Arabidopsis thaliana: one gene and its partners. The protein of the gene in region 1 interacts with the protein of each later gene in a pairwise test. Each region holds a gene or a part of one and is shown on either strand. Other genes may lie near its edges.

Region 1 (3,749 bases):
AAACCCGGCGTCACCTTTGTTTACCATCCGGATTTGGCTGAGAACAACTCGACAGGGAAAAAGATAACTCCGCTTGAACAGCTAGAACCATTTCCAGAAGATGAGAGATTCGATTTCCTTGCTTGGTTTGAGGAAACTGCGAAATACGCAGACTTTGTAGTCCTTAAGATGAACACAAACCAAGTGGAAATGAAGTTCCTAACTGTTTTACTGGAAACAGGAGTCATATGCTACGTGGATGAGCTTTTCCTCCGCTGTTCCAACCACAAGTCAGACTGCATCAACATGCTTCAAACTCTGAGAGCCAGAGGTGTGTTTGTTCATCAATGGTGGGAAGACTAAACCAATGTAAAACTCAATCTCGCTTCGCCTTAGTCTTATCTACGTCGATTCGTGTCTGTCTTTGTCTCAGTTGTAATGCCATCACCTTCTGTGTTTGCCATAGTTGGTCCTCGGCCACCACAGCTCCTGGCCAAGCACCTATAACTAAATAAGAAGCTGCCTATCTGTTTATCATTGCTATTTAAGAACTCAGTTTCCACTTATAATATATTGAACCATAACGTTTTACGTCTTAATTAAGCATGGCATATATTACACAAGTCGATTGCTTAACTAAATTTGTTCATTCTCCATCTCCATTTCATCCGTTCTTGTTAATCTCCAAAAGCATCTCAACAGGTTGTCTGCAAACTGGGCACAGATTTGTCTGAAACCTTAACGCCTTTGCGCACCCGCTACACATACACTGCCAAACAGAAATACACAAACCATTTCAAAAGAAGTTCAATTTTTTTTTTATATGAGCTAATTTTAAGTATGATGAACACTATACCATGTGTCTGCAAGGAAGAACAGTTGTATCGCGTGGTTCAGACAAGCATACAACACATTCCTTTCCCTCATCGGAACCATCAACCGTGTTCTCAATCCCATAAATCTCAAGCAGCTCATACCTCCTCTTATTCACCCATAGTATCTGCTTCACCACTTCTATTTTAATCTCTCCTTTCTCCTTGGTATACACCACTTGAGTAATCTGCACATTGGTGGAACCAGACTTTCCTTCTTCCGCTGGAGTTGCCTCCGCCTTAACCGCCAACGGGAAGACATCTGTATCCACCTCCTTGAATAGCTCGGAATCTTTAAACGCCGTCAAGTCTATACCCGTTCCAGATGATTGTATGAACTTCTGACCAAGTCCTTCTCCGAAATCAAAAGTGATTGGAGGCAAAGTATCTTCCTTTGTAGCTCTAAGATTACATTCTGCATCTTCTGTAGCAAAGAAAACAACTGTGATCCTGTTCTCGCCAACCAAAACAACAAAAGCTAAGTCATTTATATTACTCCATTGATTGATTCAAACAAGATTCAAACTTTTAACTAAATTTGATCATTTCATAGTTTGAAAGTAAAACCTTCCGGGCATGGATGCATCAAATGTGAAGGAGACAAGAAGTCGATTCGGATTCTCCGGGTCGGGTATGAGCGTTAAAGTCTTCTTCTTCAGATTAACATCGTTACGAATCGTGACGGCTTTCTGGTGGACGTACGTAGGAGGCGGCAGTATAGGGTATCTACCGCCGTGAAACAAAGGATGAGGTAGTTGGTAACTGTTGGGAGGATAGTGATGCAAATGGTTGAAATTGTACGGTAGCATCGGCGGCTCAGTTACTGGCGGAGGAAGGCAGTTACCTGGATACTGGTCAACGTAGTTAGGGTTAGGGTTCAGATATGGTGGCACGGCGGCGAATACAAATCTGTTCGGTGGGAGTTCAAGAGGAGCCGTTTCCATCGCCGGAGGAATATTGCTCCTCTGCCTTCTCCCGCAGCAGAAGATCAAACTGATCAGATTCCCCATGATCGGAAAAAGAAAAAAGGTGAGGTTTTTCGGTGATTCAGTTGATAAGGAGTAGAATCGAAGTAGGTTTTATGATCATTGAGAAAGGGGAGTAATGAGATTGGAGATAGCGACGTCGACGAAGAAACACCAAAACGTTTATTTGTATATATTATAAATTAGTATTAAACTTGATTAATTACCATGGGAAATTGATTATTACTTTTAATCACATAAAACAAAGAAATCATTATCAGTAGCACTAGGCAGGCAATAGGCCCAAGGCCTCACAACAATATCACGGTTACAAAATAAGAAGAAACGAAATGACAAAACCGGAGACACGAGATTGGTTTTGGAGGTTGATCGGAAAACAAAGAAACACATCCATTAATACCGGCGATTACAAGAAGCACTGCTCGTCATTAAGAAACATCTTGCACTGATCGTCATTAAGAAACATCTTCTCTTATGTCTGATTATATAGGAGATCATAATAACGTCGATAAAAAAGAGTTTAAAGTGGAAATCAACCAAGAAATAGAAAGCACTATCAAGATATATTTCAAAATGAATATTTCATTAAAATGGATTAAAAAATAATTAAACACTCGAGTTTTGATCTTGTCTTGTTAAAATTTTACTCATCGTGTTCCTCATAAATTGTCCCCAGCGAAGGCGAAGCTGAAACCCTCATCGGATAAACAAGAATCGCCGGTACAGTTTCGAATGGTCCGATCATCCTAGCCATGATTTGTAAATATACTCTTTCTTCGATTTAGACTTCGGCAGCTTTCGACTGTGTTGAGAAGATCTATGTGGAAATTATTGTTATTGCTGATATTTATAGAGATAGAGAGGAATAGTAGTAGTGTAATTAACTAATCATCAAGTGATCTTTATATATTTGTATACTTTTTTATAGGACGCAGCTTAATACTTATCGCACGTGATATTTATGTTTCATATTTAGGTGATGCTCGAAAGTTGAAACATAAGTATGCGTACACTGCTTTAGTTTGCAGATAAATCATACATGTCTTTATTAAAAATTAATGTAAATTAGATTCTTTTGGTTGAGAAAATGATCGCACCAAACAGAAATAGCGGTGAGACTGGTTTCAGGTTTAAGTTTGGTTTGATATTTGAAGATACTGATTTTTTGTCGTGGACCGGTTATCGTCCCGGTTCGGTTAGAAAGTATATTAAGATTTGTCTTTAATTACCAACTCGTGAGCATATAACAACAGATCACCGAGCGTACAAGATGTGAAAGTTGAATGAAAATTTCACAAAGAACTGAGATTTGATTGTACAAAAGATACAATACAAAATCTCATCTTATACAGTTATAGAAAAAACAACAACAACAACAAGAGTCTATCTTAAACCCAAGACCGAGTAACAAAATGATCATTACAATTTACACGTCCTCGTTTTCTTGTTCTTGATTGTCTTCTTCGGTCTCTCCGCCTTCTAAAATCGTCTCAAGAATCGGAGAAACCGATGGCTTCGCCGGAGAAATGATTTGTGGAGGAACAGCCTCCATCCACCACGCCACATCCACCACCACCGTCAGATTCTGATCGCACCGATTATCAAAGAAACACATATTCGCTTCACTAGATATTATTTTAGATTTGCGGAAGTAATTCAAATTGTTACTTTTTGAGTTGAATTGATACGTGTTCATTTGTTCGTATTTATAGAGAGATTGACGCGTGGAGATATGTGGAACAATGATGGGTTTGACGTAAGAGTCGGACAAGTGGACGATCCACAATGTTTAAGTTAGTTTGTTGACTTGGTCTTATTTGCTAATAATAATGAAACCAACACGAATATTCTAGAACCTCTTGTTGTCGTCATTATCAACAAGTCTCGAATGTGCAACACGTGTGAGCTCTTG
Region 2 (3,601 bases), on another chromosome or scaffold:
ATGTTTAGGTAGCGTCTAACAATTTTTGAACTTAATTTGTTTAAGCCATTCAGATTTTTGAACGTTTCCATTTATATGTATGAGAGGAGTAGGGACGAATAGTACAAAACGACGAGCGGTGATTGTCCGTGCAGAAAGAAAACGTACCCTCTACTGCTAAAAGGTGCGAAGTGGAAGCTGACGAAACGTGGGACACAATCACACAACAAAACTATACAAATATTATTTTCTCATGTTAATAGTGATTAGTGGAATGATTGCCAATGGACAATGCGGCCTTCTTATCCCTTGTTGTTTTTTATTGTTTTCTTTTTCTTGTAAAAAACTTTGATACTGTTTTAGAATTAAAAAAGAGGTAAAAACTTTTTTTCTTCTAAACGATGCACGAGTTCTTTAATGATGAAGATTGTGAAACTTGCTATACTCATATGAGATGGGACCTGTATTTTTTTTATTTATATATAAAACTATTATTCTCTCACTGACAAGAAATTCCCAATTTTGATTTTGATTTATGTTTTTAAATAACAATATCTTTTTAAAAATATCTCTCTATCTTGCTTTTTTAAAAACACAATTTTTCTGATTGCCTAAAAATAATTACCATAAAAATCAAACATGTCCCGGTCTTGTGGATCCAGTCCCATGATACTCATTTTCTTGCTTTGTTTTATGATTCTATTTTGTTTTCGACCGAAGTTTATGAATTAAAACATGACAAAAATTTATTTGACAAGTAAACGTTACATATTTTTCAAAACTATTACGCCAATGTTCCAAAGCTTCCACGCCGAAATTCTTGAGCAAATAGACAAAACATCAACGATTTTTCTATAGTATCTGTTATTTGAACAAATTGAATTTTTTAAAATGCTAGATTCCTAATTTTCTCTACAAACAAAGCATCAAAGATGAAAGCATAAAAGAAATCAACGTACATTCTTAAGAAGAGGAATCAAATTGTGGCTAAACAGTGGGAAAGTATAATCAAGAATTCAAGATGTGAGATAAAAATAAAATAACAAAAAGCAAAAATTAGGTAAAGAAAAACTAAGGAAATTAAAGGATAACCCAAGTTTTTCTTTTACCGTGGATATTGGATCATTCCACGGTGAAAAAAGAGATTCTAAATTTAACTGATAAACATATATATTAAACAACTGCAATAAAAAAATAAAAAAATTACAGGACTAAAACTAAAGAACTATAGGGAATCGGACATCAAATTACACAGAACCATCTTTACGATTGATGCTTCACCGTACCACATAAACAAAATGAGATCTTATATAAACTTATGATCTTCTTATCCATAGCTCTTAATAAGAAGTGAAAAATAAAAAAATGGAATCACCGCATAGTCTTGGCTAGAGGCAAGAAAAGAAGAAAGATAGACTAATTAATGAGTATATATGTCAAGTCAAAGCACCAGAGCCAAATGAAATTTGGAAATAATAATGAAGAAAAACAAAATGAAATTGTTGGCACTTTAACCCACAATCTCACTCACTTTCAAATAATCTTTGTTCGCTATTATCATCGTGAAAACATTGTCATATTCCACTACACCCCAATCTAAACTGCTCTTTCACTATGCCCTGATTCTGATTAGCTACAAACATTTTTTTTGCGTGGTATATGGATAATACATCGATTTCAAAAAATATGCCTCTATCTGTACGGACTATGTATATCTCAACTCTCAAATCACTGTATTTTATTATTTTCAAGAATGAAAAATAAAAGTGTTAGCTGTCTAGTTCTGTTGATATATTGAATGAAATTTAACATTTTCACTTGTCCAGCTGTAACTTCTTAGTTCTTACAGTATAAATACGTTATTTTCTTTAATAAAAGAGAGATACGTTGATGAGTTCACTATGGTTAAGAAATAAAGAGTTGGTTCCACTAAATTCCATCAATTAAATATGATCGTCACTTTCTTTGTCCCCAAGTTGCATATACCTATAAATACATCTCTTTACCTTCTCCTCTGTTTCCTACTCATCTTTCCTTTTTCCACATCAAGTTAGAAAAACAAAAGTAGAAGAAATTATCTCCAAAACACACAAGTCCAGAGAGAAACAAAAAGAGATTACACACAACAACAACAAAAATGAGACCATTGAGCGTACAATCGAAGTTTGAAGATGTGGCAACGTCAACCTCCGTTAATCACCACGGAGTGACGCCGCAATCACCGTGGCACTCGCCGGTTCCTTACCTCTTCGGCGGTTTAGCGGCGATGCTAGGACTAATCGCCTTTGCTCTTCTCATCCTCGCTTGCTCTTACTGGCGCCTGTCTTCCTCCGGCGAAGAAGATGGTCAAAACGTAGATGAAGAGAAAGAGAGCCGGTCTGGAGATAAGGCGGCGAACGGAGCTTACGAGGAGAAGTTTCTTGTCATAATGGCCGGAGAAGATTTGCCGAGGTATCTGGCGACACCGGCGATGAAAAAGTGTACGTGTGGTGGTCACGAGGGTAAAATGGTGATTTCTCAGGAGGAAAGTGTTGCCAAAGAGGAAGAGAAGATGAGAGAAGGCGAAGAAGAGAAAGTGAAAGATACCGGCGAGACAACTACTACAAGTCACTAAACTTTTCTTTTTCTAAATTAACGTCTTTTTGAGAGTTTTCTGGAGAATTGTCCTCGTCATGATTCCTAGAAATGTAAATTTTACTAGAGAGCAAAATTTTGGGGTTTTTACTTGTTCTGTAGTGTTTACCGTTTGATATATTAAATCGTATTATCCTAAATTTTGTAGTTTGAGGAAATATTTAGTCACTTCACCCCAAAAAGTCTAGTATATTTGAAACTGCGGTTTCTTACGTGTACATGTGTGTACATCCATATATTTAGGATTCGATTGTTCCAACCAATTCGTTTTGATTATATAACTTTCCACATTTTTGAGTGGAAATACGTGCTAATTCAGAAATTTCATATGGTGGTTAGGTTGATTACTCACGGTCACAAAAATTGTACTTTTTTAAAAACCTTGCATGTACTTCAAACTGTTGGCTGTCAGAACAGAGAAAGTGCTTCAATCTGTTGACAGCAGAGCTGTCTGATCCATATGCCAATTTCACTTTCTTTCCTCTTTTAATTCAGCAAGATTTATTTTCCTCACTCGAAGAGTTTTATGAGGTGTAATCATTTAGTGTTTTTACAAGCAGTTTAAGAAGAAAATTATCCGAAACACACGTTGACTACATATATATTTTTTAATCTCATTCGAATATTGTCATGAAAATACATCTAAAAGTTAGATTTATGAACAAAAACATACATCGCCGACAGTTTTATAATCCTAAAAATCATTATAACATAATGTTACTATTAGGATACAAGAAAAATAGACTAGTTCCACATGATTTTTGTTTATCTATATCGACCGTTCTCCAAGACTTTTAAGCCTAAATTTTAGGTTTACTACTACAAAATCTTTCAAGACTGATTATTACTTAAGATCTTTTAAAATACTTTTCGACTTGCAAATATGTCAAAAAATAAATAAAAATGGCTGATTATCGCACACAAAAGATTATCAATAAATTACACAAAAATATATCCAGTCAACGGATCTGGAGATCTTGTATTTGTA
Region 3 (3,421 bases), about 23 Mb from region 1:
AAACTACAGTGGGCCCAAATAAAACCCACCATTAGCCAACTTTATTTTCTCGACCCATAACCAATCCAAAAACATTTTTACATCGAACATCTTGATTACAAGTCTACGCAGCTCAACATATATCGTTAAATTGATAAAAATACTCTGTTTTGATAAAACAAAACTATTTGTTATGCAACAAAGAAGAAGAGGCAAAAGATTGACGGTTATTCATCAAAGTCTAGTTTCTGAACTCGAATATTCACTATTAATAGTTGGTAATCCATTTTCATTAGATGAATGTATAAATAAAGAATCCATAGCTTTAAAGTAATATAAAAAAAAAGAAACCTAGCTAGGGCTACAGCCTACAAGATAAGATTGAAAGGGAAAAAAGAAAAGAGACCTAGTGCAGTTAAAAGTCATTTTCGAAACTTATAAAATATTTTCCTGATAAGAATTATGCTATAGGAGATTAATTACACGATTAGGGTCGTTGATTGAAGCTAATTTTAACTGCTTCACCTCGCCGCATCAATTTAGAGACACCTAAGAGAAATTAAATCAGACATTCTTCTGCATGTGCCTTCACACGTGCCTGTAGTCCTCACTTCAATTTTCTCACCTGAAGAATCTTTTGATATTTTCTCTGTTTTCTTTTTTGTTCGGACCACAATTGTCACATTAATCCCACGAAAAAACATGTACTGGAACAGTACAATTTTTTCATCATTTAATCACCTTTTTTTTTTGGTGAATTTTTAAAATAATCAAGATATTTTCATTGAAGTCTCAGATAGTTATTTGTTTTTTCATTCTCAATTCCATAAATCACAAATTTCACATTCAAAGTCTCAGAAATTTACATTTTATCCCTCATCATGACCTAGATATGGCACAAAACTTACAAAAAAAAAAAAAACGAATTAACGATGCAAAAGGCAAAAGCTAAGATTTTTTAAATACATCATTGATCAGAACAACTCCTAATAATTCAATCCCAATTCCAATTTTTTCCAATATTACTCATCATCAAGTAGAGTTATGATCCAACCCGAATACCCGACGCAACCGGGTCAGATGCTGCAAACAGTTCTTCAGAACTGTTCACAATAAGACGATCCTCTGTTTTTCTCTTCCCTTCCTCTGGTTTTGTCAATGTGTCTCACCGTTACTTTCACTACTCCGCGGCACCACCTGATCACTTCCCTCCACGTCATCATCTTCATCGTCATCATCGTCACAAGTACACGTTTTTACCGACGGCGTTGCTAAGTAAGTAGGTTTGACATTTCCGGCCATAATCACCAAGAACTTCTCCGGCAAAGCTACAGGCTTCACCGCCGTTTTGTCAGGTTTCACATCTCCGACTTCAAGATCTCTCTCTCTGCTCTGGTTTTCCTCGCCGTCTAGATAACCGGAGAGACGCCAGTAAGAGCAAGCGAGGATTAGAAGAGCAAAAGCTATGAGACCAAGCATCGCTGCTAAACCACCAAAGAGATAAGGAACCGGTGAATGCCACGGTGAGTGAGGTCCTCCTCCCATGGTGGTTCTGTTTCCTTCAACGTTTTCTCTCGGAGGGTAATATTGTCTTCCTTCCATTTTTTTTTCACAAAGATGGTTTTGAGTTTTGAGTTTTTTTTTTTTTTAGGAAAATGTTTTGGTGTGAGGAGGAAGATGAGTGAGGAAGGGTTTTATAGAAGAGAAGAAGCGAATTAACGTTGTGGATTGTGTGTGACGTATCAATTTTTAATTTTATTATTTTGCGTATGAGATTCTTTTTACTTCTGATTTATGGAAATTTTTCTTATTTATTTATGTATTTGTATGTAATGAGTGAGTTGGAGAAAAAAGCAATATGAATTCAGTTTTTATGTTTCTCAGTTATCATGAATGATTATATGGAGTCGTGACGTGAGTGCATAACTTATGTTATGTCTTATTTTTGCCGTTTGCTAAAGTAATCGAGATGGTGTGTACAAAAGGATTAACCACTGAATATATATATAATTTGTAAATGAAAAAATAAACATTTAACAAGTTTTCCTATGATTTCCAAACATATTTTTAAGAGAAAATTCTTAATTCAATGGTAAACTTTTTTTTTTGGCTGTTGAGATTTACCATACTCATTTTTTTTTGTCCGTTTTGAGTCGCTTACCAACATAAAAGATAACTAACATATCTACTTTTTTCTTTCTAGAGTAATGTGTGTATGTGTTTTACTTAGAAGTTTACATAAATAATCGACGTTCACATTCACAGCAATAGCATTTTAAAAATGATTGGTAACATTTATAATCTCAGCAAGGTTAAGGGTTTATATATTTCAAAAATTGAAACTACATGCTTTACAGAGGAATGTTATGTATAGTTAGCAAGCCGTGTAATGATGAGCTTCTGTTGGTTTAGGTGCCGGTGATTAGTTGGGACCCAATTAATGTGGTCTGTTTCTTAATCAGTATTCCTTACTACTTTTTAAGCTTAATCAGTGGATAATTTCAAAAAATATCTTCGATTCTATCATACTCCAAGGAATTATAATATTAGTAATCATTTATTGTAACACTTAAACACTGTTTTAGATAATTAACAACCATTCACATAGTGTCGAATCCACTCGAATAAAATATAGTATGACTTTACAGAAAATATCTGCTGAGTGGTTATACTCTCTACTAGTACAGCGTAAGATCAACATCTACTTGGCTAATAATTATTTTTCTAATTTACAGTGGAAAAGTGAGACATGAAAACATAAGAGTCATGAAAATGATGAATTTTTTAACTAGAACAAAAAAACCAATGATTGATGGCTAATAGATAAAGAAACACTCTGAAGAAGAAAGAGGGTTTAAAAGAGGCAATTAAAAGGGGAATAAGATAAGGACAAGAGACTGACCAAAAACGGTTCCGTTAAAGCCGCTAAAATTTAGGTGAGCGATGCAAACGTGAAGAGATAGCCGGAAACGTAATAACCGTTAACGCCAAACAAGTAAAGTGAACGTTACCTAAAACAACTAAAATTACATGTTTGTTTAAATCTTCTTACTTCGAGTTCCACTATACATATTTATAACCAACTTTATTGTATCTCCAACATATTGATATATATGCAAGATATGCATGATTGTTAAAGAGCAAATGAATTCGTATGAGACCTTGAAACTCGGCAAAGCAAGAACAACAAGACTCACACTCGCTCTCAATAATTTTTCATGCTGTATTCATATACATAATTAATTAACTACTATATATAGACAATTTTTTCACATATATACAGCATAAAAAATAATTATGATAGGTATATATATATATATATATATATATATATGTTATCATATTTCATCGTGAACTGTGAACACATAAATATAAATGAAAAAACAGACGGTAGCCCACCACCACCATAAATTGCTTTTAACAAGTGACTATTGATTTTATC

What was found.
Region 2: the proteins of LUL1 (region 1) and GDU1 interact in a two-hybrid assay, tested with the Arabidopsis thaliana proteins (one study listed by BioGRID).
Region 3: the proteins of LUL1 (region 1) and GDU3 interact in a two-hybrid assay, tested with the Arabidopsis thaliana proteins (one study listed by BioGRID).

The regions. Positions count from the first base shown.
Region 1 is NC_003076.8:759,807-763,555, forward strand, and holds LUL1 (RING/U-box superfamily protein), read right to left. Parts: upstream 2,035-3,749; 5' UTR 1,862-2,034; coding exon 1,419-1,861; intron 1,302-1,418; coding exon 836-1,301; intron 749-835; coding exon 644-748; 3' UTR 513-643; downstream 1-512. Other genes in the region: CPUORF47 (peptide upstream protein), read left to right, coding at 1-342; AT5G03204 (uncharacterized protein), read right to left, coding at 2,481-2,591; DIP2 (E3 ubiquitin-protein ligase), read right to left, coding at 3,264-3,533. UniProt on the Arabidopsis thaliana protein: Acts as an E3 ubiquitin-protein ligase, or as part of E3 complex, which accepts ubiquitin from specific E2 ubiquitin-conjugating enzymes and then transfers it to substrates (in vitro).
Region 2 is NC_003075.7:15,359,091-15,362,691, forward strand, and holds GDU1 (glutamine dumper 1), read left to right. Parts: upstream 1-1,921; 5' UTR 1,922-2,116; coding exon 2,117-2,593; 3' UTR 2,594-2,984; downstream 2,985-3,601. UniProt on the Arabidopsis thaliana protein: Probable subunit of an amino acid transporter involved in the regulation of the amino acid metabolism. Stimulates amino acid export by activating nonselective amino acid facilitators.
Region 3 is NC_003076.8:23,365,222-23,368,642, forward strand, and holds GDU3 (glutamine dumper 3), read right to left. Parts: upstream 1,843-3,421; 5' UTR 1,582-1,842; coding exon 1,135-1,581; 3' UTR 584-1,134; downstream 1-583. UniProt on the Arabidopsis thaliana protein: Probable subunit of an amino acid transporter involved in the regulation of the amino acid metabolism. Stimulates amino acid export by activating nonselective amino acid facilitators.